Linked DNA regions of Canis lupus familiaris. The main gene of each other region encodes a partner of the protein of the gene in region 4 in a complex. Links are inferred from orthologs where the notes say so. Each region holds a gene or a part of one and is shown on either strand. Other genes may lie near its edges.

Region 1 (4,216 bases), on a different chromosome or scaffold from region 4:
GCAAACTGGGTCCGTCCCTCCACGGTGCTCCCGTTACCCTGCGTCCACTTCTCACTTTGCTCTCATTCAAAACGTCCCCGCCCTCAACTTGCCGAGAGAGTGCTGAGGAAGATGATGGAGCAGGGCCTGGCAAACAGCGGGGGACGGGGCCTCCCAGGGAGCCTCTCCGGAGGGGGGTGGGGGCAGGGAAGAACTAGGAAGGATGACCAGGGGCATTCCGGGGAAACGGGGAAGACCAGACGGAGGCGGAGCGCCTTCAGCAAACTAGGAACAGGAGGGGAAGCGTCCCAAGCCGCCCAACCACAGAGGCCTCCCACACGCGCTGGAAGCCGAGGGGCGGCTCTCATCTGGATGCAACCAGACCTGACACACTTTCAGAGACATCCCTCCTGCTGTGCCGCCCATGGACTGGGGGGTGTGTGAGACGCAAGTGGCCACCGGAGGCTACAGGAGAGAGATGGGGACCTGCGGCGGGCAGCTCAAGGTTAATGGGACACCACTCCCTGAGCTGCATCACCCAGGGAACCGGGGAGGGAGGACCTGCAAATACAAAGTGCGCTTAGGAGGATGTCCACCCCCCGGCTGGCAGCAGGCCCCCCGCTGGCCCGGAGACCTCTGACCCCAGCTGCCCGAGGAGGAGCACGCTGCAGCTGTCACCCCATGAGCATCACCGCCGAGTCCTCACTGACGTCTTCCTTTTGCAGATGAGCAACTGACGCCCGAAGCTGGGGCCTCCCTTGCCCAAGGTCACGCAACAGAACACGGGGCGGCGGTTGGACCCCACTCGGGACGCGGGCTCTCGGCCGCTCCCTGTGGGGAACCGGGGGCCACGCCGGACGGCTTACCGCAACCACGCGGGTGGGCGCTAACCTCGCGCGGAAGGGGAAACTGAGGCTGGGGGCCAGGCGGGGGGCGTCCCCGGCGGCGGCCGGGGGCCTCGGGACGGAGCAGGGCCTGGGGAGCCGGGGGGCCTCCCGGACTTCAGACCCAGGCGCAACTGGGCGACGCTGCGGCTGGGGAGGGCTCCGGGGGGGGCCGGCCCGCAAGGTCACGGCCCGGCTCCCGGCCCGCGGGCCACCGCGCGGGGGGCGAGCAGACCCGAGGCTGGCCCCCAGGCCAGGCCGGGCGGGGCTCCCGCGGGGCGCGGGGCCCGGGGCGGAGGGACCGGGCGCCGCAGCCGGCGGGGCCGGCGGGGCCGACGCAGCCTCACCTGGGTCGCGAGGAGCAGGAAGGCCGCCGCGAGCCGCGCCAGCGCCGCCGCCGCCGCCATGTCAGCCGGGTCGAGCCGCAGGCGTCGGCAGATGTTTCCCAGCAACGCCCCGGCGCGCCCCGCCGCGCCTGCGCCGTGTGCGCTCCGCGCCTGCGCACGGGGGCGGGGTCAAAGGGCGCGCGGCGGCGCCTGCGCAGAGCGGCGCGCGGCGGCAAGATGGCGGTGAGCGCGCGGCGGGGCCGGCTGGGCGGGCGGCGTGGGACCCGGCCGCGCTCTGCGCCTCACGCGCTCTGCTTCCCCCGCAGGACAAAGAGAAGAAGAAAAAAGAGAGCATCTTGGACTTGTCGAAGTACATCGACAAGACGATTCGGGTGAAGTTTCAGGGAGGCCGCGAAGGTGAGAGCCCCCCGCCGCCCGCCGCCCGCCCCGCCGCCCGCTCCCCGTCGACGGCTCCGGGAGGCGAGCAGGGTGGCGGATGCCCGGGCGCAGGCCGGAGCGCTTTGCTGGGAGGACTCGCGACGGCCTCCGTCCGACGCCGTGCACGCGGGGAAACTGAGGCACGGGAGGAGCTGCAGACACCCCGAAGCGGCCGAGGCGCAGGCGGGGTCCTCGCTCCGAGGCAGCCGCCCCCGCTGGTCCCCGCTGGTCACTGACCCCCGCCCCGGCTCCTTGGGCTCCGCACTCGTGACCCTGACGCCAGCCAGATTGTTCGGGGCTGTCGGGGCGCTGGGGGGAGGGGAGCAGCCAACCCCCGGATGCCGCCAGATGCCAGGACATGCCTTAGCTTGGGCACCCCAACCAGGCATCTCCCTTGCCGAGCCGCGGCCCGGTGTCAAGGATGGTCCAGAGGGGCCTGTTAAACACAGGTGGGCCCTCCTCTGGGCCGCCCGGTCCCTCCCGGGGAAGGGGCAGCCTTGCGGAGCTCTCAGCTGCCACCAGGCTGTGACGTGCACCCGCCTGCTGGGCTCTTACCAGGCTTAAAACACAAGGCTTCTCTGGGTGAATGAATTTCAAAGATCTCGGGAGCTTTCTCCCACTATTCACGAGCCAGGGAGCACCCCACCTAGGAGACGGCGCAGAGCCCCAGAGGGTTTCGTAGGCAGAGGGTGCAGGAGCAGACGCTGGATCGCTTCCGGCAGGGTCCCCCTCCTCTGGGGGATGCTGGGGGTTCTTTCAGGAAGACTAGCTCGGGAGGGCTGACCTGGAAGTTCCAGGCTGACTGGTGGAGATTGCATTCCTGGGAGAGCTGCAGGTGCGGCCAGGTTAGGTATGAGGCCGCGGTGGGGTGGCCGGGGCTTGGCACGAGTGACGCCGTTGGGAGTCTCTCTTTCTAACTCCAGGTTAACTCCACAGTCATTTTTCTGCTCTCAGCTCAGGATTCTTGTTCCAGGAAGCCTTCCCTGATCCTCCACCCTGGGCCCCACGCCTTTGGTGTCAGCTCCTGGTACCGTCTGTCACCGTTCCCCGCTTTACGCAGTAAACACGACACCGACCTCTGCATCTTTCCCCTGGAATAGTGAGGAGGGCAGGAGCTGGGCCCAGTGTTGCTGGTGCGTGTAGGCAGTGTGGCCTCTGGGGTCCTAGCACCAGGCAGCTGGAGTCAGAGCCACAGCTCTTTGGCGCACTGGCTGTGGGACTTCGGGCAGCTCACCCCGCCCCCCAGGGCTCCATTTCTTCACTCCCCCCACCTCACCGGGCGGTGGTGAGGATCACAGGGTTGGAGGCACCTTCGATGTGGTTTCTGACACAAGCAAGCACTTGAGCAACATTTCATTTCTTCAGCTGCCTCTTTGCTTTCGTTGTGTTTCATGAGACAGTGACCCAGATCCTTTCTCCCGGAGATGTGGACGATTGGGTAGCATCGGCGTGGTTAACAGCGCGGTGCCTGCAAGTCTAGGTAGCCAGCAGTGGTGAGAACTTGAACCCGAACAGATGTTTGCTCTGTCTGCGCCGTGCTGGCTCTGGGACCCGTGAAGGAGACACAGCTCTCGTTTCTCAGGGTGCTCATATGGGTTTTCTACGCTGTGTAGCAAGTTGCCACCACGTTAGCAGCTTACGCAACATGAATTTATTATCTTGTGGTGTTTGTCAGGAGGAGTCTGGGTGCCTTGGGCTCAGGGGCTCAGGTTGCACTAAAGGAGTGTCTCAGACGCCCTGTTGGTTGTGGGCAGGGTTTGGTCCCCTGCGAGGGTCCTACCCCTGTAGGACCAGGGTCCCCGAGCTCTGCTACAGGTGTCCTAGAGGCTGCCCGCCGGCCCTGGCCACAGCACTGTCCACAGCATGGCAGTTTGCTCCCTCAAGGCCAGTGGGAAGATCCCTCTCATGCTTTGAATTTTTTGACACAGTTCCTGTTCCCCTGAGCTCATCTGATTAGGTCAGGCCGGCCGAGCAGAATCTCTTTAGGTGAGCTGAGAGGGCACTGATTCTGGGACCGTAATCACACGTGCCCGTTCCTTCGTCTTTATCCTCCTGTAACCTAATGGCAGGAGTGGCATCCCGTCCTATTCACAGGTTCCCTCCCACACTTGAGGGGAGGGGTTCCACTGGGTGGTCACCGGGGTCAGCCCCATTTTAGAACTCTGCTCGTGCCCCACGGAGGAGGGCAGACCCGCAGGTGCGGCCACAGTGCCCGCTGCCCATAAGCTCGTCGGGGAAGTGTCCTCGGGACCTTTGTCTTGCGGGCGGAGGGGAGGTCAGTCGGGGAGAGAGGAAGGCACAGAGCCAGGCGATCTCGGTCACGGCTGGAGGCGTGAAGGCGCCCTGAGCCGGTGAAGCTGCTCACAGGAGCGCAGCAGGCCGGGTTGGGCCCCCACGCCGTGGTGCGCAGAGCTGTCGGTCCCGTCCAGCCCCGTACTCCCCGCAGACACTACAGCAGCGCGGTGGAGCGTGGTGGGGGCACCCCTGCTTCGCCAGCTGTGCCTGGGCCGGGAGGCCTGAAGGCCGGAGGGGCAGGGCTTTGGGGCGCGTCCCTCTGGCCGTGTAGGCGCCGCTCCTCTGCGCATGCGC
Region 2 (4,010 bases), on a different chromosome or scaffold from region 4:
CTGTTTTGTACAGTTTTATACTCAGCAAAATGCCAAATAGTGTGTAGCTAATGCATATTTGTTCCATGAATGAATGATGTGTGTATTACAACTATCTGTTGTATGAATGAATGATGTTTTTTTCTGCTCTCTCCTGTTTAGACTCGTCAGCCTTACGTTCCTGGGATACAAATATGAAACAGACTTAAGGCAGAGAATTTGTTTGCTTTCTATTCTTTGCAAAACAGAAGTGCAAAAAGCCTGGGATCCCTGGGTGGCGCAGCGGTTTGGCGCCTGCCTTTGGCCCAGGGCGTGATCCTGGATACCCGGGATCGAATCCCACGTCGGGCTCCCGGTGCATGGAGCCTGCTTCTCCCTCTGCCTGTGTCTCTGCTTCTCTCTCTCTCTCTGTGACTGTCATAAATAAATAAAAATTTAAAAAAACAAAACAAAACAAAAAAAAAACAAAAAGCCTTAAGGTTTCCTGTGTGATGACATTAGCGGACAGTGACATCTGGTGGCTGCTTATAAGACAAGACAGTTAAGTGTTGAAAGTGGATACAGTCTGTGATAAATTGGACTCCTAGCTACAACAAGGTAAGAATGATAAGGTAGTAGGCATAAAAATAAAATGTGTTTTAAATTTCCACTGTAGAAGGTTTTTTTTCTTTTTAAATGCTGGTTGTGGGTTTTCAATTCACTGGACTTTAAAAAGAAGCACTAGATTCTTTTTTCTCTCTTCTTTAAATAGGCTCCGCACCCAACGTGGAGCCCAACCAGCGGATCCTGAGATCAAGACCTGAGCTGAGATCTAGTCTGAGGCTTAACCCACTGAGGCACATGGGCGCTCTAGGAGTAGATGCTTTGAAAAACGGCTTTTACAAAAACTGCAACACAGTGCATTAGTGGCAAAAAAAAAAAAAAAAAAAAAAATTTTTGGTTCGGTCTGAAAAAAGATCCTGGCTTGAGATGAGGTGCAACTTCATAGCAGAAAATAAGACGATTCAAAGATTTCCGTATTTTGCAAAACCTTCCGGGTTGCAGGAAGGATTTATTCACAAAGCAGGATCCCTTTAGCGTCTGTCTGTCGGAAACTGCCCGGGGAAAGCCGCTACGTGCCCAGACCGCACCACCTGCAGCGGACGGAACCTTCTCCCCGAGAGCTCAGCGCCCGGGAAAGAAGCGATTGGGAAGGAGCGACTCCTGCGGACTGATTGGATCGCAAGTTCGGCCTCCGATTGGTCGAGCCTGTCCGGGCCGCGGGCCGGCGGGGGGAGCGGAAGCGCGCTCTTTCAAACTTGCCGGGCTGACGGCGAGGCCGGCGGGCCACTTCCGGCGTAGCCATGGCGGCCAACGCTACCACTAACCCGTCGCAGCTGCTGCCTCTAGGTAATCGCGGAGAAGGGGACCGGAGGGCTCAGGCTAAGTGTTGGGGCCCGGGCGGCTGCGGCTGAAGTAGCCCTTGGTCGAGTGTTAGGGAAATGTGGGGATGAAGGGCCTCAGTGCTCCGCGGCTCGTCTGCCGGCTCCCGAGTGTCTGCGGCCCCGGGCCGCCCGGGAGCCTCTCTGCACTAGGCACGAGGGCTGGGCGCTCTTGGACAAATTCAGACGCCTCCCACTGCCTGCGGATAGCACACACACCAGGAGGAGATAGAGCGCTCCACCTGTAAGCATCACGCCGAGTGATAACGAAGCCAGCTAACGAGGCGTTCAAACTGCGGTCCGAACACAGAGATAGTGACAGGAAGAAATCTCTGGTGGATACGGTTGTGCCTCTTCCGATATTTTGTAGCCAAAGAGTTGATGGAGTTATCGGAAGTGGCCTTGTTTTGGAAGTTTTCATTCTTTGATTCCACCAACTCTTTTTGAACGCTTGCTATGTGCCAGACATTGCCCACTGAGGATAGAGTCCTGGGAAAACAACCACAGTTGTTTCATGGGGCTTAGACTCTTAAAAAAAAACATCAAACAAACATTTTTATTCATTCATGAGAGACACCCAGAGAGGTGGAGAAGCAGCCTCCATGCAGGGAGCCCGATGCAGGACTCGATCCTAGGACCCCAGGATCACGCCCTGGGCTGCAGGCAGGCGCTAAACCGCTGAACCACCTGGGCTGCAGGGGGTGGGGGGGGCTCAGATGTTAATTATATATTAATTATGCATTTCGTATGTTAATCAAAATCACTTAAAATAACATTAAACCACAACCGTGATGGATAAACTTCAACAAAGGAGAGGTAAGTGGTAAACAGGACGTTTTTGTTTATGCAACAGAGATAACGTACCGTAAAATCTCTAAAGTTTTTGAATGAATACTTTCTCTGGTTTATCTTTCACAGTAAGTAACTAACAAGTGCCAGTAGGCATTCCAATATTTGTTGAAGAAATGAACAGGTAAAATAATCTTTTTTTCTCCACCCCCCCACCCCTCTTTTTTTTTCTTTAAAAAAAAAAAATATATATATATATATATAGAGCTCGTGGACAAATGTATAGGATCAAGAATTCACATTGTGATGAAGAGTGATAAAGAAATTGTTGGCACACTTTTGGGATTTGATGACTTTGTCAGTATCCTTTCAAAAGGTGGTGGTGGTATGGGTTTTCCTGCAGTACTTAAGAACAGAAATAAGAATATGGACAGTCAGTACGTAACTGGTTATTGTATTAGAAATTTATTCACCTCTTGATAGCGTTTTAAGAGGTGTGTGTACTGAAAAAAGATAAAGTTCCTACCGATTACTAGTATTTTGCTCTGGAGCCATTGTATTAAACGTTGTAATTAAAATGGAGTAAAGATAGAAGCCAGAGTAAATTCAACCTGGTATATGTATTTTTCTTAACACCAAATTTCAGATATGGTACTGGAGGATGTCACTGAGTTGTGAGTAGTGTTAAAAATTAAAGAATTGGGGGGAATCTCTCCTTAAGTCAATTTTAGTATTAATGAGTTTAAAATGATTAATGAGAAAACATTGCCTGTCAGAAATACCTTAAAGATAGAAATTTTATCTACTGACACTGGTAAAATTGGATCAGTTATTACCGGATGTAATTATTATGTTATTATTAATGACTGGTAGGGACTTAGTGGAGACTGAGCTTTGAGATAAAAGATACTAAAAACAGCCAAGGATGTTTGTGCTCAGACAAATCAAGGCATTAAACTTAAGATATAAATGATAGCTCCATTATATTAGTTTTAAAGATCACAACCAGTGTCTGCTTTCAAAATTGAGTTGATTACAGATTGGTTTAATGGGTAAGGGATTAGTAGTAAATAATAGTAAAAAGGTGAGGCTAGTAAACATTCCATTTCATATTTGATCTCTTTGGCCAGTTTTAGCTTCTTTTAGTTTTGATCCTAGTGGATGTGGATCTGAGGCCAGTCAGTTCACTGTGTTGCCTTTGGTCATCCAGTGGATAACCTTTGTCTCTGAAAACTACTGACATAATTGCTCAACCTCATATTCATATAATATAAGAATAACTTTTTTAGGGATCAGAATGTTGGCTTTGATTATCATTGTTTATCTTGACTCTTTTATTTCTTCATTTAGTGAAATCACACCAGAAGGAAGAAGGATCACTAAATTAGATCAAATTTTGCTAAATGGAAATAATATAACAATGGTAAGGTACAGTAAAGCTGGGCGTTTTTTTAGATGTAGCCCATTTTTGTGAGGCAGAGATTACAGATTACTTGGCTTGGTTAAATAAATGTTCATGGCCCAGTGGGTTTAAGTTGGGAATGAGATGCTCCTGTGATCAGGGCTCTAAAGCTGAGCTACTGAACATGACAATAGGCTTAAAGATTAGTTTGCTTGGGCTTTTTAATCTTTTGGTTTGCCAAGAATCATTGTTTAGACTCTAAGTATTAATTGACGATGTTGGGATTATAAACAGAAGCAATGACCTGGAGAAAATGGGAATGTGGGGGAGGAGCAAAGAGGCCAGGTATCTTTGATGGGTGAAAAGGGGTTTTTAGATGATGGGTGTGGTGGTGGTATTAATAAGCTCTTTTTCCTTCT
Region 3 (3,531 bases), on a different chromosome or scaffold from region 4:
TAAGTGGATGAATGAATGAGTCAGGGCACATAGAGAGGGTTCCAGAAGGTAGGTTCTGAAAGGCTAGAGGCAGGAGGGTGGAGGAGCTGGGCTGCGGCAGTGCCTGGTGTGTAGGTCCCCGGCCTTCTTTGGAGGGAGGTAACAAACCTCCCTTGGGCTGCAGGTAACAAACCCCATCCCACACTGGAGGATAGGCTGAGAATGAGGAAGCTATCTTTTGTGACTCCCTGACCTTTACTGTGTAAAAGGATACCAAGAGTCTGGAAAGAGTCCACTGGAAGGCAGCTCTCCCACCCGCATGTGAAGTCCAGGACTGAGAACTTTGCAGGGGTGATGCAGGTGCAGACTGTGGCCCAAATGGGAACGGGGCCTGAGGGGACAGATGTGCCCTAGCCATCAGCACACACCTTGCACAGATACCCCCCCTCCTCCCCACCAAAACCCACTGAGATCTGAGACTCACCCTTTTCTCGCCCAGGATGGGGACAAGTTTTGGCGGATGCCCGAGTGCTACATCCGTGGCAGCACCATCAAGTACCTGCGTATCCCTGATGAGATCATCGACATGGTCAAGGAGGAGGTGGTGGCCAAGGGCCGTGGCCGCGGTGGCCTGCAGCAGCAGAAGCAGCAGAAGGGCCGAGGCATGGGGGGTGCTGGGCGAGGTAGGCCTTTCTCTCCCCTCATCCATCCCCTCCCACCAGCAGGCTAGGCCAGAGTCTGCCCAGGCCTTGCCACCGAAGGGTGACTGCAGCACATGGCAGCCATCCTGTCCCAGTGTTGACATTCTTGGGTGGTGCTGTCATGGTGCCACAGGCCTGGCTCTGAGCCCCCTACATAGAGCTGGGGTTATGACTCATGGGGCTCCTCTGGTGTGGCTGATGCTGCTGTTTGCTGCCTGCCCTGGCCCCACAGCCCCCACCGAGGAAGCCTGGTATAGTTCTGGTGAACAGTGCTGATTCCCCCACCCACCTGGGCCCTTCCATCCAGCAGTGATCCCCAGTGCTCCTGAACTCTGGGTCCAGCCCAGCAGACCAATGTGGTGCCCACCTGGGGCTTGAGCCTTCATCTGATCCCTGCCTATGTCTCCTGGCAGGAGCTCTGGGCATGGTGTGGCACCTCCCTGGCTCATTTCCCCTCTGCAAAGAGAGTCTGGTAATTCCTGCCTCACCAGGCTGCTGGTGAGGATCCCGGCTTAGGGCCTGGCAGAAGCCCCTTGCCTGCTGTCACTCCTTTTCACAAGCCTGAGTTCATCCCTCTTTGATAGACTCCCCTCACTCAACTCCCCCACCACCACCACTGAGATGATAAATCTGGCATAAACTTCAGTTTGTTGTGCAGTCAGCTGGGGCCTGAGCCTAGAGGCCATCTGCAGACCCTCCCAACCCCCCAAACCCCCTCCTCTTCTTGGAGGGCCCTGGCTTTGTCTCTTCCATCTGTAGGGGCCTTCCATATGCCAGGCCCAGGCTCCCCAGTGGGGGCTCATAGGCAGGGCCAGGAAGGATACAAGACCCGGCCCTGAGATGAGGCTCCCGTGACAGTCAGGGGTGAGCCAGAGGGAGGAGGTCAGGAGGGCGCTCCAGGTGGGGAGGTTGCCAAGGCCTAGCAGGGCCTTTTCCATACCTGAGGGCCAGGCTCTTCGTGCCAGGGGCCACCACTGTTGAGTGAACTGCCTAGAGGAGCAGAGAGGAAGGGAGGGGTGATTGCTTGGGTCACTGAAGAGAGAGACCATGGGGCCCTCGGCAGCAGGTGGAAATCTCACCCTGTGTGGTAAAGCTGGCCTTGCCCCATGGGAGGTGAGGTTAGGGTGGGTCTCCATCCCTACAGGGCCCACTGCATGTTTGTGGTAGAAGGGGGACCATGTGTACCATTCTGTGTCCCCATCCGCCCTGGTCCTCCCTAAGTGGGGGTGTGTTCCATTCCTGACTACTCAGCCTCCTACACAGTTCCTACCTTGGACTCCACGTGAAAAATCTTAAAAGCAGAGCCCCATTACTGGCTAGCAGAGGTTAGAGGGCAGGGGGCTCCCCTGTCCCCACCCCTAGGCGGGACACACAGAATCTCCTAATTGTTTCTCTCCCTGGCTAGTGGATGTGGACAGTGCTGGAGAAAGGGGGAAGCTTGGGTCCTCAGCTGGGGGCCTGTGCCCTGCCCCCTGGGCTAAGTCCTACCCCTTTTCTGGCTCTTGTTCCCCTCCTCCTGGAAACCATCTGGCTTTGTCCTTCTGGTGTCTGCCCCCTATGCTGGCCCCAGGCTTTCTCCCAGGAAGCCTACCCCAAGCCCCAGTGTTGACTTAGAGCTGACTTAGCCACCCTGGCATCCTCTTGTTGCTTATCAACATTGAGAACTTTCTGGAACACCACCCCATGTTCTCAGCTGGGCTTCCAAACCCACTTTTGCTATAGCCCCCTCCTCTGTCTCACAGGTGTGTTTGGTGGCCGGGGCCGAGGTGGGATCCCAGGCACAGGCAGAGGTCAGCCGGAAAAGAAGCCAGGCAGACAGGCGGGCAAACAGTGAGCCGCCTCTCTGTCCCCCAGAGACTGAGCCACTACTAAGCATCTGCTGCCACTCCCTGAGGCTGTGTTTCTACTCTCCAGTTCACAAGTGTGTTCAGAACAAAGAGAAGAGGCAGGTGATCCTTTTTACATAAAGTCACCCACCCCCCCTTTTTTAAAGCCAGCAGTTCTACAGTTGGGTATGTTATTCAGTGTTTTTGGTTTTGTGAAGCTGCAGCCAACTTGATTCCTGGAAGATTCTGTGTTTAATGTGTCTTTAAAGCCCTCGCTCTTGTTTTAAGGGCGGCACTTTCCAAACAGGCTTGTTTTGCATTTTGAGTTGGATCCTCGTGTGGTGAACAGACCGGAGGTTTTTATTTTAAGCTGTTTGCACTGAGATTGACAGCCTTGGGAGTTTCCTGAAACATGGACCTCAGGATTGCCTTTTGAAAACAAATCTGTATGAACATATACCACAGAAGCTGTTCCTGGGACATTGCTGGGCCCCGCCCCCTTTGCCTCTGCCCTCCCTGTTTGTGTTACAAAAATAAAAACAAATACAACTACAAACTGCAATTCATAATTCCTTTTGAGCCACTAGGCACATCTAGAGTGTGGTATCCTCAGGAAATCACAGCCCTGTAAGAGAAGTTTCCTTTCGAGGGTTGCTTCCTGTCTCGCCAAGGGGAAGTATTTCAACAGGGCACTGGTTCCGTGTCCCTTGATGTCATTTTAACAAAGATGAGGCTGGGGTTCTAGGTGGCTCAATCGGTTAAGTGTGTGCTTCTGGCTCAGGTTATGATCTTGGGATTGGTAGGGAGCCTGCTCCCTCTGCCTTTCTTCCTCTGCTCGTGATCTCTCTCTCTCTCTAATAAATAAAATCTTAAAGAAAGAAAGATGAGGCTGTTATCTGGGCAGTGGGAATGGCCCTCCTGCACCATGTTTCCCTGTAATCCCTGCCCCTTTGTAAAGAATTGATGGGGGAGGGAGGCAGAGTGGGGAAGTCCCAGGCAAGAGCCAGTGTGATCACCCATGCAGG
Region 4 (4,297 bases):
CGTCCGCCTTCCGCCTTTTGGCTAAGCTCAGGTCGCGGTCTCTGGGTCCGGGGTTTGGAGTCCCCGCAGGGCCTGCTCGGTGGGAAGCCGGCTTCCCCTGCCCCGCCTCCCCGCCCCACCCCTCCGCCGCTCCCCTACCCTACGACTTGGGGGCATGCACGTGCTCTCTTGAATAAATACAATAAAGCTGCAGCCATTCTTGAAAACAGTTCGTATTCCATAAAATGTTAAACACGGTTATCGCGTGACCCCGGCTTTCCACTCATATACTCTTAGGGAAGCGAAAACCTAAGTCCACACAAACACAAATCCAGATGTTCACAGCAGCATATGCACGACGGCCAGAAAGTGGAAACAGCCAAATGTCAGACGATGGATAAATGAAATGCACACACTGGGTGACGGGCCCTGAGGGGGCACCTGACGGGACGGGCACGGGGTGTTATTCTAGATGTCGACAAATTGAACACCAACAAAAAATAAATGTATAAAAAATAAAAATAAAAAAATGCACACATGCGTATGATGAAGTGGTAACCAGCACCGAGGACCGAATCCTGACGCCCGCGGACAGCGCGGCCTGGAGAAGGCAGTCCCGGGCGATGTCCCGGTCGGTCTCCGCTCGCACGAACTGCCCGGGGCAGGCGGGGGCAGGGAGGCGGGCGGGAGTCCGCGGTCGCCGGGGCTCAGGGACCGCGGGGAGTGGGGACGACCAGCCGACCGCGCTCGGGCCTCCCCCCAGCAGGACGGGAGCTGCCCCAACGGAGACCGCAGTGGCGCTTCTACGACCCCCCGGGGCTGCAGCGCGAGGACCCCACAGGACGTGGGGGATCCTCCGTCAGCTTCTTGACAAAAAGGACGCGCCCGGAGGCGGACGGGGCGACGGGCGACAAGGGCCGTGCGTGTTTCACACGGTGACCCACACCTTAGCTGGTCTTCTGCTGACGCGGCGACCGCACAGCGGGGCCTAGTCTGCCCTGACCGCCCCGGGGACGGCTGTGCGGTGAGCAGGACGGGCCTTCCCCAGCCCGTCACGTCACGGTCCTCGGCCTGTCCCGTGTGCCGGCCCCGTCCCCCGGCTCCCAGCGCTGCTCCCCGCCGGGACCCGAACCGCACCTCGCAGCTCCGCTCGGCCGGCTGCCCTCGTCACACCCCCAGGGCACGGGGGCGCCGCGGAGAAGCTGGGTCGCTCCGAGGGGCCTGACTGGGGCTGAGAATCAGGCGGCAAAGCCGGGCCCCCCGTGACCGCGGCGACACCTCAGGAGACCGACCCCGCGGGGTCCGGGGGCCACCGGCCGCACCGCCCGGGCGCACACGGGAGCCCCGGCTCGGTGTCCCTCCCTCCCGGCGCCGGGCGCGCGCGGCCCCTCGTCGGCGGCCACGCGCACGCGCACGCGCACGCGCACGCTCACGCTTACGTCGGGCGGCCACGCGCACGCGCACGCGCACGCTCACGCTTACGTCGGGCGGCCACGCGCACGCTCACGCTCACGCTCGCGTCGGCGGCCACGCGCACGCTCACGCTCGCGTCGGCGGCCACGCGCACGCACCGACCGGCTCGCGTCCCCGCCGGGAAGGGCTGCCGCGCGGGAGGCTGCGGTCGGCTGAGGTGCGGGCGGACGGAGCGGGGAGCGGGGGCGAGGGAGGCAGGGGCTGGCGTCTGCGGGGCGTCCTCGCGGCCCCGTTCTCCTTCCAGGGGTAGAGCTTGACAGGGGCCGGGGCCGGGGCCGGGGGCCGGGGGCAAGGTCTGCGGGGGTCCCAGGCCCTCCCCGCGGCGGGACCGAGGGGCACGGATGGGGGCGACCCCGGGGCCTCCGCACCGGGGACTGGGTCTGCAGGGCGTCCCCTCAGTGCCGTCCCTCTTCCAGGGGTCGGGGGGGTGAGGTCTGCTGTGGGACCCAGGGGCGCGGGCGGGTGCGACGTGCAGCCCTTGCCCGCAGTCGGCCGCAAGGAGCCGGTGCGCACAGTTCCCGCAGGTGTGCCCGCAGGTGTACCCGGAGCCGCCCCGAGATGTCGTACATGCTCCCACACCTGCACAACGGCTGGCAGGTGGATCAGGCCATCCTGTCGGAGGAGGACCGCGTGGTCGTCATCCGCTTTGGACACGACTGGGACCCCACGTGTATGAAGATGGACGAGGTGCTGTACAGCATCGCGGAGAAGGTAACACAGCCCCCCGCCCAGCGTCAGCCTAGGAAGCTGTGGTCTTTGGTTTGCCCCGTTTGCTAGGTGGCTGCAGGGTTGGAGTGAGGTGACCGCGTGCAGGTCCTCCTCTTCCTCCAGGCTGCAGAGGCGCAGCAGGGTCCAAGGGCCTGACCCCCGCGTGGAGGCTCCAGGCCTCAGAGGGTAGGGTGCGGCGGGCTCAGGGGGCCTGACCCTGTGCCCCGAGGCTACGGTCCTTCCGTGGGAGCAGTGTGTCCCTGGTCTCCAGGTTTTGAAGGGGTTCATGGTGCCACCTCCACGGAGCTGGGAGCAGCACACCTAGGGACTTCGTGGAACGCCATTTTAGCCAGGTAGCTGCACAGGATTGCCAGTTTTTGGTGCTTTGCTCCCTGTGTGTGGGAGGCAGTCGTGCCTGTCAGGGGAAGGAAAGCCTGTTCTCCATCCCGGTCTTTGTGCCCTAAGTGCACTCCTAGCTCAGACGTGCTCTGGGAGACTTGCCTGGTTGGACCCAGTCTGGGTCACCATGCTGGCACCCTGGCTTGTCGGAGGCTCTGTTGGCAGTTCCAGAACCAGCAGCACCTGGTGCTCTCCTGTGGGCTCTGTGGGCTCATTTCAGGAGAACTTTCATTTGGATGTGTAGTTGTAGCCAATTCATAGATTACTTACTGATATTCCGTAAATAAGGAGAGGTCAAGAGTAATGGAAACATTAAAGCCATGATTTCTTTCAGAGGAAGAAGGGCTTAAGATAGCTCAGTACATGGTAACAGGTGTAGGGACAGATGTGTCTGGGAAAGGCGAAGTCTCGGGGGTCAGAGCAGGACCCCACATTGAGGTTAGTTCACTAACAACTATCTGACCTTCCACTGCTACTTTTTCTGATCTCCTGTGTGGCGGGAGAAGCCAAGCGAGGCCGGGTGGTAGCACTGGGAACCGTGGAACTGTGGAGGCCGTCTTTCCGGTCAGTCACGTGAGGATCGCTTGGAAGACTTGCTCAGGTGCACCTCCGAGGTTCTCGTTCTGCAGGTCTGGGGTGAGGTCCACACACAGCTCTGCCCAAAAGCTGCCCTGGGAATTCTGAAGTGGCTTCCAAAAACCACTTGGCAGAGTTCGGGATCAGAGTAAGGGTGCTGGGAGACTGGCCGTTCCCTTTCTCTTCTTGGGGAGCCTGAGGAGGTGCCTGGGGAGCTCGGGAGAGCTGCGGCGCCAGTTTGTCGCGTCAAAAGCAGACACTGCTGTGGTCAGTGAAGAACCACCTCCAAGCACTTTCCTGAGAAACACCATTGCTGCTCTGTTGACCTTGAAATAACGTAGGGTGTGTGTTCTGAATTGTGCGGGGCATGTGGGGGCATAAACACCAGGTGGTGACCAGCTCCTGCTGCCCTCGGTGCAGGGTCAGGATGGTTAGAGACGGGAGGCTCCTTTGGCTCTTCATACCCAGGCAAAACCCAGCAAGACGCTCTTCTTTGGGAGACAGATTTTGTGTTAACCTGAGCTCTTAGGGACTTTCAGCAAGTTGTTTGTTCTTTTCCCATCCCTGTGTGTCAGCTGTAGGCTGGACTGCGGGATCACTGAGGAACGCACTCTGGGATCGAACCTACTGATAAGAACAGTTTAGTTGGGCTCACTTTGAGTATTTGTCTTTGTTTTATCTTTAAGGTACTTTTTCTTTGGTCCAAAAATTTGGATTTCTGTTTTAATAAACTTTTAATATTATATAGTACAGTTATTAGAAATGCAAACTTGAAACTCATCACAAGATAATTGTTTTATTTTCTTCTGTGTAAAGGCAAAACATGAGTTTATAATTCTGGAAGTCCTTCTTGAGCTCAACAGGAATTTTTGAAATTTAAAGTTTTAGTATAAAGAACAACTTAACTATCTAAAAATCTCCCTCTGCAGAAATGGCAGATAGTGGGGGATCTTCCTCATCCTGTCTCGAGCCCTGTTTGGATACCCCAGCTGTTTTAAAGTGAGTAAAAGTTCCACCGTTTAGGCTGGACTTGATTAGATTGTTTCTCCGGGAATGTGGTGTGTTGACTTGATGCTTTGATGGTGCCAACCATCATGAGGCCACCACCTCATGCTGTATTAGTTTTGAGCTGCCCTGAAAACATGGGAGGTAAGCTTAATGA
Region 5 (4,248 bases), on a different chromosome or scaffold from region 4:
GGAGATAACTGAAGGAGTGAAATTCTTTTTTTTTTTTTTTTTTTTAGATTTATTTATTTATTCATAGAGATGCAGAGGAAGAGAGAGAGGCAGAGACACAGGCAGAGGGAGAAGCAGGCTCCATGCAGGGAGCCCGACGTGGGACTCAATCCCGGGTCTCCAGGATCGCGCCCTGGGCTGCAGGCGGCGCTAAACCGCTGCGCCACCGGGGCTGCCCAGAAGGAGTGAAATTCTTGAGAAAAATGAAAGATGGGAGCCAGACTACAATGAAGAGGAACTTGCCTTGGAAAGGGGCAATGATACATCTACCTTTCTAACTGGAAGAAAGTTCTAAAAGGATGGCTTCCGGTCTTCTCGAAAGAGGAAATATTAGCAGAGAGTGATCTTAGGAAGACACTGTAAAAGGTTTCAGAGGGAGAGTACAGGGAAGGTATGAAATAGTTTGTGAGCTTATTAGAGACAAGAGCTCTCAACAATGTAGGTGCCATTCTGAGGTTTGTGACCAAATTTTTTTTAAGATGTTATTTATTTAGGGAATCCCTGGGTAGCTCAGCGGTTTAGCGCCTGCCTTCGGCCCAGGGTGTGATCCTGGAGACCCGGGATTGAGTCCCACGTCGGGCTCCCTGCATGGAGCCTGCTTCTCCCTCTGCCTGTGTCTCTGCCCCCCTCTCTCTCTCTGTTTCATAAATAAATAAAATCTTTAAAGAAAAAGATTTTAGGGATCCCTGGGTGGCGCAGCGGTTTGGCGCCTGCCTTTGGCCCAGGGCGCGATCCTGGAGACCCGGGATCGAATCCCACGTCGGGCTCCCGGTGCATGGAGCCTGCTTCTCCCTCTGCCTGTGTCTCTACCTCTGTCTCTATCTCTGTGTGACTATCATAAATAAATAAAAATTAAAAAAAAAAAGATTTCATTTATTTATTCATGAGAGATACACAGAGAGAGGCAGGGACACAGGCAGAGGGAGAAGCAGGCTCCATGCAGGGGAGCCTCATGCAAGACTCCATCCCAGGACCCTGGGATCACGACCTGAGCCAAAGGCAGACACTCAACCACTGAGCCACCCAGGTGCCCCTGTGACTAGAATTTAAAGTAAAAATAATAAGCTAAACTGTGTGATTTTCTTCAGGTACATTCCCGGTGTTGGAGCTGAATTCGCATAATTTTTTGGGCTTTGTCAGAACTACATTTCCTTCGCGAGTGTATTTACTGCCCCGTAACACAGGACTCTGAGCCCGCGGCCCGCGGCCCGGCCTACTAATTGGATCTGAGCTCCCCAAATCCCCGCCCTTACTGGAATTTTCCTCCTGGACCGGCTCTCAAAGCGCTCAGCAGGCGCAAGGCACACCTCCAGCCGCCAGGGGCCGCCGTGAGGTTGGGCGCGGCCGGAAGGGAGTGCGGCTCCGGGGGCCTCGGCGCTTCCGCCTCGCGTTCTCAGCGTTCCTCGCGCCCTTTACGTCCGAGCCCGAGGAGTAGGCGTTTCCGGCCATTCATACTCCTAGTTTTTCGGGCCTTGGTAGTCCGGTTCTGTACATTAACGGGCTGAAAGAGCGACGGCGCCGCCAGGATGAAGCTCGTGAGGTGAGGGGGTAGCCCGGCGGGGTGGGGGCTGTGACGATTTGGGCGGCGAGCGGGAGGCCGCGCTGCCCCTTTGCGGGAGGCGGGAAAGCCGCGTGCGCGCGCGGCCTGCTAACGGCCTCCGGCGCCCGCCGCTCCCGCCCCAGCTTGGCCGCGCCGTCGCGGGCGCTGCCGCCGGGGCTTCAGACTCGTTGGCGCGCGGCCCCCGCGTGTCTTCAGGCTAGTGGACGTGAAGGCCTGGCCATTTCTTCCCCCCTAGTGTCTTAGAGGCCTGCAAGGCGGCGGCGCCAGGCTTACAGGCTTCTGTTTGCGGTTGGTAGAAGACGTTCGTTCCCTTAGAACTCGTACTCTAGTCTAGATGATTTTTCTGGCCGGTCTCAGCCCTCAGGACCCGCAAAGACGACTAAATATACGCTCCCGGAGAACGTGGGAGACCTAAGGAAAATTGTACGCGTTGCATTAAGTTAACGAGCTTTTATTTATTTATTTTTTTTTTAAAGATTTATTTATTTATTCATTAGAGACACACACAGAGAGGCAGAGGGAGAGGCAGGCTCCATGCAGGGAGCCCGACGTGGGACTCGATCCTGGGTCCCGGGATCACGACCTGAGCCAAAGGCAGCTGCCCAGCCGCTGAGCCACCCAGACGTCCCGTTAAGCAGCTTTTAGAATGTACTTAGAAGCTGCAGGGGTTCATCAGGAAATGACGAAACCCATTTCCGAAATGTTTTAAATCAGGATTGGACTTCTGGTTTTTTGGTCTTTCCTTTTCCTTTTCCCTTTCCCTTTTCCCATTTCTTTTCTTTTCTTTTCTTTTCGACTCCTTACAGTTAAGATTACCCAACTCCCATTTCCCTTCAAAATAGGACTTTAGGGATCCCTGGGTGGCTCAGCGGTTTAGCGCCACTTTCGGCCCAGGGAATGATCCTGGAGACCCAGGATCGAGTCCTACGTCGGGCTCCCAGCATGGAGCCTGCTTCTCCCTCTGCCTGTGTCTATGCCTTTCTCTCTCCCTGTGTCTCTCATGAATGAATGAATGAATGAATAAATAAATAAATAAATAAATAAATAAATAAATAAAATCTTTAAAATAAAAAAAAAGAAAACAAAATAGGACTTTAATTCAGGAAGAATCTCCCAACGTCTGGCAGAGTCACTTTACGTATTTGTGGCTGATTAGCAGATGATCACTATTCTCTTGTGTTTAAACTTCATTGGTTAGTTGAGCCTATTGGTTTATGATTTGAGTAATTCATTCTAAACTATCTGCAGATAAGGTTTTGGTGTTTTTCCTTGAGGCAGGGAGCCTGGAACATAGAGGAGATTTCTGATTAAATTAGTTATAAATGTAGCTAGTCTTTTGTCTGAATCAAGATTAGTCTTATTGCGATCAATCAATTATTGGGCACCTATTACACTAGGCACAGGCAGTGGATTTTGTTTTTTTAAGGTGTTCTTTGAACTATTTTGCGAAGACAGACAAATAGACAATTTCTAGTGTGAATGAAATAACGTATAAAACCCTCAATATGTATTCGGAGTTCTTAAGGAAGGCATTTAAGGTTAATTTTTAGTCGAACTGTAACTTTGGAGAAAAACACCCCAGAATTTAAAGTATATTTTCACAATTTCTCAATCCCTACCTATTTGAATCTACTTATAGTTTTGTGTCACACTCTTTAGAATCCGTTTATCTCATTTAAAGAAACTGCATGTTGTGACACAATTTTCCTGAAAATTTTAAAGGCTGTACTGAACCCTATTCTTTGTTTAGACTGTAGAAATAAAATTTCTTCTTACTGGTGAATATGTTTTGTTCCAAGAAAATGAGTATTTGTCTAACTGCTTTGCATTTTTGGTTGACTTATTTCTGTACAGTGGTTGATGGCACTATCATCCTTACTGCCACTCTAACCAAAAACCTGGGAGTTTACTTTGACATCTTTCTTAATAATCTCATAAAATTGCCAGGTTTTCACAGTTTTTACCTACCTCATAGAAGTATCTCTCATTATCCAATTTTCTTTAAAAAAATTTTTTTTGTTTATTTATTCTTGAGAGACAGAGAGAGAGGCAGAGAAACAGGCTTCATGCAGAGAGCCTGATGCCAGACTCGATCCCTGTTCTCCAGGATCACGCCCCAGGCTGAAGGCAGGCACTAAACCGCGGAGCCACCCAGGGATCCCCAACATTATCCAGTTTTCTTTGGTTTTTGAATTCAGTTAGTGTGGATTTGGATCCTGAAGGATACTATGCAAGCGGTATGTTTTTGGGTGCTATGAAGGATATTATCTGGATATTTAAGTTTCAGTAAGAACGAATTCAAAGGGAAGGATTCATCGGAAAGAATTCAAATCTGTTTGATTTCTGAGCTGGGATAACTCTTTTCTGCCAAGATACCTTTGCTGTCATTCATTCCAGTGGCACCACTGAGTCATAAAAGCTTTCTTTTATTTCCACCCAAGGTTTTTAATTTTACTTCTTGAGGTGACTATCTCATGCAATGAAATACAATGTACATTTGCCAGTTTTGAAAAATTTACACATCTGTATAACCCAAACCCCTGTTGAGATGTGGAATATGGAACATTACCGAAACCTCAAGCCCTTCCTAGTCAGTCTCTGTTCTCATACCCCCAGTGCAATCAATTTCTTCTATCGTAGTTTAGTTT
Region 6 (4,234 bases), on a different chromosome or scaffold from region 4:
ACAGAGGGGGTACCTAGCCCTCTTCTGAAGGATTCATACCAATTCCTCCTCCCCATCCAGGAGAGGGCCACTTTCCTCCCCTCTCTCACTCCAGCCATGAATCCAGCACTCAGAGAGCACCCCTTCCCATTTAGCAGGCTGTTCTGCAGTTTTCCTGTTGATCAGTCTCCCACAGTAGGTTCTAAGCTTCTCAGAGACAGGGGAAAAGGAACCTAAGCTCACCGGCCAATCAATCCTGTGGGAGACATTTGAGGACAGTGCCAAGGAAAATCCCTGTCCCTTTCACCCCTACCCGCAAACTATGGGTATAGTGACTAGCACTGCATCATCTGTGCACTTAAATGGCTATACCACAGTCATATCTCTGCTACTGACCACCAAATAAAAGACAAAGAAAATAGAAATGTTTCTGTGTTGTACAAGAACCAGCTGCATCCGAGTCAACAGAGATGCTTGTTAAAATGCAGATTCCTGAAGTCTACTACTCCTAGTCAGACTCCCCAGGCAAGGGGACACCGTAACTGACATTTTATAAAGCTTCCCAAATGATTCCTGTAAGCAAATGCGGACATCTGGAGACATTCTGGACTGTCTTGAATGAGGAGGGTGGTGCTAGGACATAGAGGCCAAGGATGTTGCTTAACATTCTAAAAAGCACAGGACAGTGCTCCACAGCAAAGGATTATCCGGCCCAAAATGTCAACTGAGGTTGAAAAACTCTGTTATAAACCCTTTATCAAAAAACCATTGTTCTCTAGTATTCAAGCAACAAGGAGTTTTAAAAAACTTTCAAGGTATAACAAATGAGAACAAACAGCTCAATTCTAATCAGATGATCGAGTACAAATTCTAACTTTTAATTTTTTTTTAAATTCTAACTTTTTAGATACTTTATCCTGACATAAAGGGAATCTAAAAACAACTGTCAAGAAATCTTGAAGGGGGGGAAATCCTTGGGTGGCTCAGCGGTTTGGCGCCTGCCTTTGGTCCAGGGCGTGATCCTGGAGTCCTGGGATCGAGTCCCGCATCAGGCTCCCTGCATGGAGCCTGCTTCTCCCTCTGCCTCTCTCTCTCTCTCATGAATGAATAAATAAAATCTTTAAAAAAAAAAATCTTGAAGGGTTGCCATTTTAAGTAATGGATTTCTTAGTCCCAGTCCTGAAAATGGTCAATTTCCCAAGTGTTACACTTCCCTCAGATGACTAAAATCTCTGTTATTTCTAACAGGACAAAATAATTCAAGTGATGCCAAGATTTTTAAAAATGCTCATACAAGTATGCCACAGTTTAGTGAGAGACCACCCAATGCAGCATAAGGAGTACTCACTTGGGAGATGGGAAACCTGAATTCTAATCCCAGTTCTGCTACTTAATGTAGCTGTATACCTTGGAGAACTCATCATTTCACCTCTCAAGGCCCCAGGTTCCTCATCTGCAAAATAAGGGAGTTATGCTGGATGACCACTTAAGAGATCATCCTGCTCTAACATTGTCAGCCTATGCAGGAACTCCAGTAATACTTTTACACACACACACACACACACACACACACACAAACCCAAGATAATTCTCTAGACTCCTGCACAAAATTCAAGCAATTGGCATTATGAAACACCACCATAAAAAAAAAAAAAAAAAAAAAAAAAGTGAGGGTGACGTGTTAGAAATACATATTATGAGCTATCATACTTTTGGTGAAAACAGGCACAACCTTACATGAAATGCAAACTGCTAAAACTCTCCTGGAAAACAATTTGGCAAGGGGTATGTAGATCTGAAGAGACCTTACTGGGGCACAGCACCTATTGTAAAAATGTCCTTGCTCAGAATCAATCCAAGTGAATCATCCGAAATGCAGTTTTAAAAATAACGTTTATCAAAGTACTACCTGGGATGCTAGGATGAAACAAAAATTCGCAAACACCCTAAATGCCTCACAGTCGGGAAATGGCTGAATAATTTACGGGACCTACACAAGGACAGAACAGGTAGCCCACCAAAAGGCGCAAAACCAGAAATAACATTTAAGAGGCACTTTTCAATGAAAGCGGACAACTCTCTGTACTGTTAACGGAGGGCACAGGTAGTCGTAGCTCAAACAGGAAGTGGCACGTGCAAGAGTAAAGATGGAAGGGGTTCAGTGAATAGGGCTTCCTTCGCTAAGCGCTTCTGAGTCCAGGATCTCCACAGCCTGTGTCTCTGCGGCATTGGGGGGGGGGGGGGGCACCCTAAGGCCCCATCCCCTGCTCCGGCCGCGCGCGCTCATCCGCGGCAGCCCCGGCGCCAGGACTCGACGCCGTACCCTGCGGGCGCCCGCGGCCCGAGGCCCCAGGCCCCGGTAAGGTGGCCGCGGCGGCCCCGGAGCCCTCGGAACCCGGCGCGGCCCACGGGGCCCCGCGGCCCGCTCTCCCGCCCACCCGCCGGCGAGGACCCCGCCAGCAGCCCCGGTCCCGGTCCCGGAAGGCGAGTCGGCGGCGCGGGGAGGCTGCGGCGGGCGCCCGCGGGGTCCATCGCCCCTCCGGGGGGCTCTGGGCCGGGCCCCTGGGGTCCGCGCGGCCCGCCTCCCGGCTGCCGCTCCCCGCACCCACCCCGGGCCAGCGAACACCGGGGCCCCCGCCGCCCGCGCGGCCGCCCGGCTCACCTGGCGGCCGGGACCCAAACCCCCGCTCCAGGTGGCGCGCAGCTGCGGCCTCCGCCGAAGCCCGGGCGAAACCGAAAGTGAAACTGCCGGAGCGGGCGGCGCGCCTCTGCGGCCGCCGGGGAGCGCCCTTCCGGGCTACGGCAGCCTGCGGGGCCCAAGAAGGCCGCGCTTCGGCGGCGCGCGCCGAGCCGGGAGTCTCGTTTGGCCCGAAGGCAAAGTTGGGGCTTTGGCGGTCAGAGGAGAAAGAGCCGCTGCTGCTACCTCTTAGCAGAAAGCAAACACCCCTTAAAATACTTAAAACAAAACAAAGCCTGGAAGTGATCTTTTAGGCAGGATTTCCTTTAGGCAGAGATGCAAGAAATAGCTTGAAGTCCTACTAAACTGGAATTGACTACTAGGGTCATGACTATACAGGCTCGGAAAGGTCCTTGAAAAAGTTAATGCAAATAAATAAAGCAGGCATCCTCAAATCTTTAAATCCACTTTGGATTTTGATCGTGCGATGAAGTCATTATTAGCAAGAGATTGTTTCCATGGCAACGTAATTGCCACAAAAAGAATTAAAATCCCTAAAGTAGCTCCGTATTATAATGGTATGACTTGCGTTACATTACAATCTAGTTCTAATTGGAAATGGTATGCAGACATTATTTAAGTGCTGCTATGGGAACTTGGTTTGGAATTCTGCATGGATTCTCAATATTCTTGCTATTAGTGGAAAGGGCGAAGAAAAAGAAGTAAAGTGTTATACCAACACTTGATTCCTTTTTCTCCTCACACACATACCCTCAACTTAAAACCTATACTTTAATTCTGCTTGTGATTTGCAACACTCTAAACAAAGAAATAATATCTTTGGACAGATTCTTAACTCTTAAGTGTTACAGATCTAAGATGCAGGGTTTTTTCCCTAAGATCTACATGAGTTTCCCCTCTCGTAAACCTGTCTTAGCTGAAGAAAGAATCTTTGATTGATATGACGGCCAGAGAACAACTGGGTGTGATTTGGTGGTGAAAAGAGATTTCCTTATATCCTTCCATAAAAGCTCACTTTGGGTAAAAACCAAGCATTACAGATTTCTTGAAAAGGCTTTATTTGAAGCTCTTGCGGTATAAGATATAATGTGAAAAAAATTAAGTATCATTTAAATAAAATAATTAGCTGCAAAGAACAAACATAATCAGATATAAAGAAAACCCTGTCCCTAAAAAGCCTTCCTCACAAAAGACCTCAAATTGTACTATATTCCTCAGTGGTTGTTTCAGTGATTCATAAAAAATAATTTTTTGATTCATAGCCTTTTTCTCATTGCTATAGAGCCCTGGTGGAGTCATTAAGACGGGTGTGGTAGGCAGGAGGCAATGAGAAGTTTTAAGGGCATGGTTCATCTGCAGGCATAGTTGCTACCTCTTCCAAGAGGCATGGATCTCTGAGGGCCCCGCTGGACCAGTGCAGCAGGCACCATTGATAAACTACAATTATCAAAATGTAGTTGTGCCCAGAATCCCCCTCAGCAGCTTATAATTGGCTTTCAGTGATTCACAAGGCAACATTCCATGTTTCACAAGTTTTTCTTTAGCATTTTTTTCCCA
Region 7 (3,500 bases), on a different chromosome or scaffold from region 4:
GTGAAATTGTTAAAATGATTCTCTACAGTGGTGACTCGCAGAATCATGTGGTCAGGCCTTCCCTAGCCAGAGGCTGTCAACGGAACACTGCACCTGTGGGATTCCCAGAGAGAGCAGGGGGGTGATGTGTTACTCCTGTGGTCTCCCTTAACCCTCACCATCTCCGAGGAGATGGGGCCGCTCCTTTTCATATCTGAGAAGAGCTTTAGGCTCAACCTGCTCAAATGCCTACATACCTCTGAAGTAGCAGAGCCCTCATTCCAATTCTAATGTGAATGACACGAGGCTGTGCAGTTTTGATGGCGAGGCCTGCTTTTACAGTGTGCTTTCCCCGTAGAGCCCATCTTGCTCGTTTGACTCATTTTTGTGGCAAAGTATGTGAATTTCCAGCAAGCTGGATTTCATGGTTCTGCAAGTATACCTAGATCCAGGGCCCTAAAGTAGGGGTCAGTAGCTCTCTAGTCCGTTGATGGAGGACAGTTTCCCTGACCTCCATAGCCTTTGTCTGATACTTGGATTTATTTTCATCATCACTAGAAATGTGGATCTGAGAGAATACTTGTCTGAAGAAGTACAAGCAGTGCACAAGAATACTACCTATGACCTCATTGCCAACATTGTACACGACGGCAAGCCCTCGGAGGGCTCCTACCGGATCCACGTGCTTCATCACGTGAGTGGCAAAAATGGTGGCTGTTCCTTTGGCATTTCAGTGGCCTGCTCTCTTTACCTCGCCCTGTCTTGGCCTTGGTGTTCTGCAACTAATAGAGCTGTCAGTGGTTAGTTCCAGGCAGTGGGTCTCAGTTGTGGCTGCATGTTGGACTCACCTGGGGAGATTTTAAAATCCTGATTGATGCCTGGGACATTCAAAGCCAGTTATATTAGAACAAATTGTTTTTTCACCTGGAATAGAGGCCAGGGCTGTTGCTAAATATGCTGTAGTGCACAGGAAGCCCCCATAACAAAGAATTATCTGGCTCGAAATGTCAGAGTTAAGAGACTGTATTAGATTATGTGGAGGTGGGAACCAGGCGTCATGGTGTTAAAATTATCCATGAGATCCCATTGTGCAGCCAAGGTTGAGCACCACTATCCTAGACTAGAGCCTTACCCTCTGAAGTGGAATCCTTGAACTGGTAGCACTGACACCATATGAGAACTTGCTAGAAATGCAGAATCTTAGGCCCCATGCAAACCTACGGAGTCAGAATCTGCATTTTGACAAGACTCTCTGGTATGTAATTATAGTCTATGAAGCACTGGTTTAAAGGTTTCTTTCAGCTAAAAAAACTGTTTTGAATTTGTCTCAAGCTAAAAATGGATGAAACATGTACTTAAGATATGTTTGGTATCACATGGATGATTAGCATAGATTGTTTTAGTTTGATTAGCCTTCTGGGAATAGGGGGAAAATAAGTAGCTCTGTTTATCAAAGATTTTACTGTGTGCTAGAAAGTATGAGTGTTTAATAATGTATTATTTGAGAGGGAGAGGAGTGCAGAGAGAATCTTAAGCAGGCTCTGTGCTAAGTGCAGAGCCCCTTAAGCAGGCTCTGTGCTAAGTGCAGAGCCCCATATGGGGCTGGATTGTGTTTGGATTGCATAGCCCTGAGAACATGAACTGAGTGGAAACCAAGAGTCGGATAATTAACTGACTGTGACACCCAGGGGCCCCTGACTTATATCTTTAACACAACCTCTAAGACAGGCATTAATACCTTTTTTTTTCCTTTTTTTAAAAATTGAGAGCAGGAGAGAAAACCACAAGTCAGGGGAGGGATGGAGGGAGAGGGAGAAAGAATCTCCAGCAGACTCCCTGCAGAGGGAGCCCGATGCAGGACCTAATCTCAGGACAAGATCATGACCTGAGCCAAATCAAGAGTTGGACATTGAACTGATTGAGCCACCCAGGGGCCCCAGTACCTTTTTTTTTTTTTTAAATCAACCAAGGAAACCTAGCTTCAGAGTTTGAGTAATTTACCTGAAGTTGGTAGATTTGGGATTTGAACCCTGATACTTATTTTTTTTTCCTTTAACATTTATTTATTTATTTTATAGAGAGAGAAAGAGGGAGAGTGCATGTGTGAGCAGGAGTAGGGCAGAGGGAGGAGAGAGAGAATCCTCAAGCAGGCTCCCTGATGAGTGTGGAGCCTAATATGGGGCTTGATCCCAGGACCCTGAGATCATGACCTGAGCCAAAATCAAGAGTTGGCCACTTCACTGATTGAGCCACCCAGGCGCCCTTGGTTTCACCAGGTTCTTAACCAGTCCTCAATACAGGAATAGGGGCTTGATTGTGTGATCCTGAGCATTTCTTATGTTTCCTATATTCTGAACTCTTGGACTATCTGGGATATCTGTAGTCTGTAGTATCTGTCTTTGGCATTTCTTTGAAGTTTGGATGGATGAGGCAGGTGAGCTTCCAGCAGTGCCTCTGCCATAATCCAGAAGCCTCTTTTTCTCCCTTATGTATGGCAGCATGAAGTAAGGTAGGTTTGCTGTATTTGCAGCACTGATTTTATGGACCAAAGGAAACAGGTTAGTATTTTGAACTGTGTCCATGAAGGACACTTTTCTTGGCTCTTGCTGTGTTCTCTGGGATGGGGTGTGGGGATGTCTACTTTTAGGCTTTCCCAGTAGTTAACACTGCACCTGCTCAGTGTGTGTAGTCTGTCTGTTTTTTTTTTTTTTTTTTTTTAAGATTTCATTTATCTATTCATGAGAGACACAGAGAGAGGTAGAGACATAGGCAGAGGGAGAAAGAAGCAGGCTCCTCACAGGGAGCCTGATGTGGGACTCAATCCCTGGACCCCAGGATCACGCCTGGAGCCGAAGGCAGATGCAGGCATCCCTAGTCTGTCATTTTTGAACAGCAAGGAGTTATCTTAGATGAGGAGTAGAGGGCTACCTCTTACCTAAATTCTTAAAAGTGTTGGGAGACTCCATTATACTTCAAGGAATCCTCGGCAGGGGTTGAGTTTGCCAAGATCAGCACTCCAAAAGCTCTTTAAATTGAATGATGCCAAGCAGAAGTCATGCACCCTCTTAATTATGATTCTTGCTGAGAGATGGTCTAGTGGCTATTCCGATTTTTCTCACTTTTTTTCTGCAGTCCTTTCCTTCTGTACCTTTTGGTTTTAGGGAGGAGACTAACCTATCCCTTAATACTTTTTGCAGGGGACGGGCAAATGGTATGAATTACAAGACTTGCAGGTGACTGACATCCTTCCCCAGATGATCACGCTCTCGGAGGCTTATATTCAGGTGCGTTGGCCACGAACTTGCTATGTGCTGAACAGATAGGGTGTGGGGCCAGTGAGAGGAATGATGTGAGTGAAGGCAAGACGTGATATTGAGTTAAAGCCTTGGTTAGGCTGGGTACCTGTTGGGATGCACTGAGGAGTGCATCTGGCAAGAGGAGGCCAGATTATATAGCCCTGTGAACCTAGGAGTGATTGTTAGAAAAGAGAAGGGCAGGGAAGCGTGGAAGATTTGTGGATG

What was found.
Region 1: TXNL4A (region 4) and LSM7 share a complex: the UniProt entries of both Homo sapiens proteins name them as parts of the precatalytic spliceosome. The link is inferred for Canis lupus familiaris from reciprocal best matches to the Homo sapiens genes TXNL4A and LSM7.
Region 2: TXNL4A (region 4) and LSM5 share a complex: the UniProt entries of both Homo sapiens proteins name them as parts of the precatalytic spliceosome. The link is inferred for Canis lupus familiaris from reciprocal best matches to the Homo sapiens genes TXNL4A and LSM5.
Region 3: TXNL4A (region 4) and LSM4 share a complex: the UniProt entries of both Homo sapiens proteins name them as parts of the precatalytic spliceosome. The link is inferred for Canis lupus familiaris from reciprocal best matches to the Homo sapiens genes TXNL4A and LSM4.
Region 5: TXNL4A (region 4) and SNRPD1 share a complex: the UniProt entries of both Homo sapiens proteins name them as parts of the U4/U6-U5 tri-snRNP complex. The link is inferred for Canis lupus familiaris from reciprocal best matches to the Homo sapiens genes TXNL4A and SNRPD1.
Region 6: TXNL4A (region 4) and LSM6 share a complex: the UniProt entries of both Homo sapiens proteins name them as parts of the precatalytic spliceosome. The link is inferred for Canis lupus familiaris from reciprocal best matches to the Homo sapiens genes TXNL4A and LSM6.
Region 7: TXNL4A (region 4) and USP39 share a complex: the UniProt entries of both Homo sapiens proteins name them as parts of the U4/U6-U5 tri-snRNP complex. The link is inferred for Canis lupus familiaris from reciprocal best matches to the Homo sapiens genes TXNL4A and USP39.

The regions. Positions count from the first base shown.
Region 1 is NC_049241.1:57,200,108-57,204,323, forward strand, and holds the start of LSM7 (U6 snRNA-associated Sm-like protein LSm7), read left to right. Parts: upstream 1-1,416; 5' UTR 1,417-1,426; coding exon 1,427-1,432; intron 1,433-1,515; coding exon 1,516-1,606; intron 1,607-4,216. Other genes in the region: SPPL2B (signal peptide peptidase-like 2B), read right to left, coding at 1,211-1,270. UniProt on the Homo sapiens protein: Plays a role in pre-mRNA splicing as component of the U4/U6-U5 tri-snRNP complex that is involved in spliceosome assembly, and as component of the precatalytic spliceosome (spliceosome B complex).
Region 2 is NC_049235.1:44,955,705-44,959,714, reverse strand, and holds the start of LSM5 (U6 snRNA-associated Sm-like protein LSm5), read left to right. Parts: upstream 1-1,210; 5' UTR 1,211-1,322; coding exon 1,323-1,368; intron 1,369-2,454; coding exon 2,455-2,550; intron 2,551-2,835; coding exon 2,836-2,863; intron 2,864-3,539; coding exon 3,540-3,612; intron 3,613-4,010. UniProt on the Homo sapiens protein: Plays a role in pre-mRNA splicing as component of the U4/U6-U5 tri-snRNP complex that is involved in spliceosome assembly, and as component of the precatalytic spliceosome (spliceosome B complex).
Region 3 is NC_049241.1:45,126,311-45,129,841, forward strand, and holds the end of LSM4 (U6 snRNA-associated Sm-like protein LSm4), read left to right. Parts: intron 1-478; coding exon 479-662; intron 663-2,422; coding exon 2,423-2,514; 3' UTR 2,515-3,031; downstream 3,032-3,531. UniProt on the Homo sapiens protein: Plays a role in pre-mRNA splicing as component of the U4/U6-U5 tri-snRNP complex that is involved in spliceosome assembly, and as component of the precatalytic spliceosome (spliceosome B complex).
Region 4 is NC_049222.1:688,219-692,515, forward strand, and holds the start of TXNL4A (thioredoxin-like protein 4A), read left to right. Parts: upstream 1-1,497; 5' UTR 1,498-1,609; intron 1,610-1,967; exon of another isoform or gene 1,968-1,976; 5' UTR 1,977-2,010; coding exon 2,011-2,163; intron 2,164-4,064; exon of another isoform or gene 4,065-4,134; intron 4,135-4,297. UniProt on the Homo sapiens protein: Plays a role in pre-mRNA splicing as component of the U5 snRNP and U4/U6-U5 tri-snRNP complexes that are involved in spliceosome assembly, and as component of the precatalytic spliceosome (spliceosome B complex).
Region 5 is NC_049228.1:66,473,027-66,477,274, reverse strand, and holds the start of SNRPD1 (small nuclear ribonucleoprotein Sm D1), read left to right. Parts: upstream 1-1,448; 5' UTR 1,449-1,565; coding exon 1,566-1,579; intron 1,580-4,248. UniProt on the Homo sapiens protein: Plays a role in pre-mRNA splicing as a core component of the spliceosomal U1, U2, U4 and U5 small nuclear ribonucleoproteins (snRNPs), the building blocks of the spliceosome.
Region 6 is NC_049236.1:44,949,712-44,953,945, reverse strand, and holds the start of LSM6 (U6 snRNA-associated Sm-like protein LSm6), read right to left. Parts: upstream 2,801-4,234; 5' UTR 2,642-2,800; intron 1,433-2,641; exon of another isoform or gene 1,328-1,432; intron 1-1,327. UniProt on the Homo sapiens protein: Plays a role in pre-mRNA splicing as component of the U4/U6-U5 tri-snRNP complex that is involved in spliceosome assembly, and as component of the precatalytic spliceosome (spliceosome B complex).
Region 7 is NC_049238.1:39,787,387-39,790,886, reverse strand, and holds part of USP39 (U4/U6.U5 tri-snRNP-associated protein 2), read left to right. Parts: intron 1-537; coding exon 538-673; intron 674-3,176; coding exon 3,177-3,263; intron 3,264-3,500.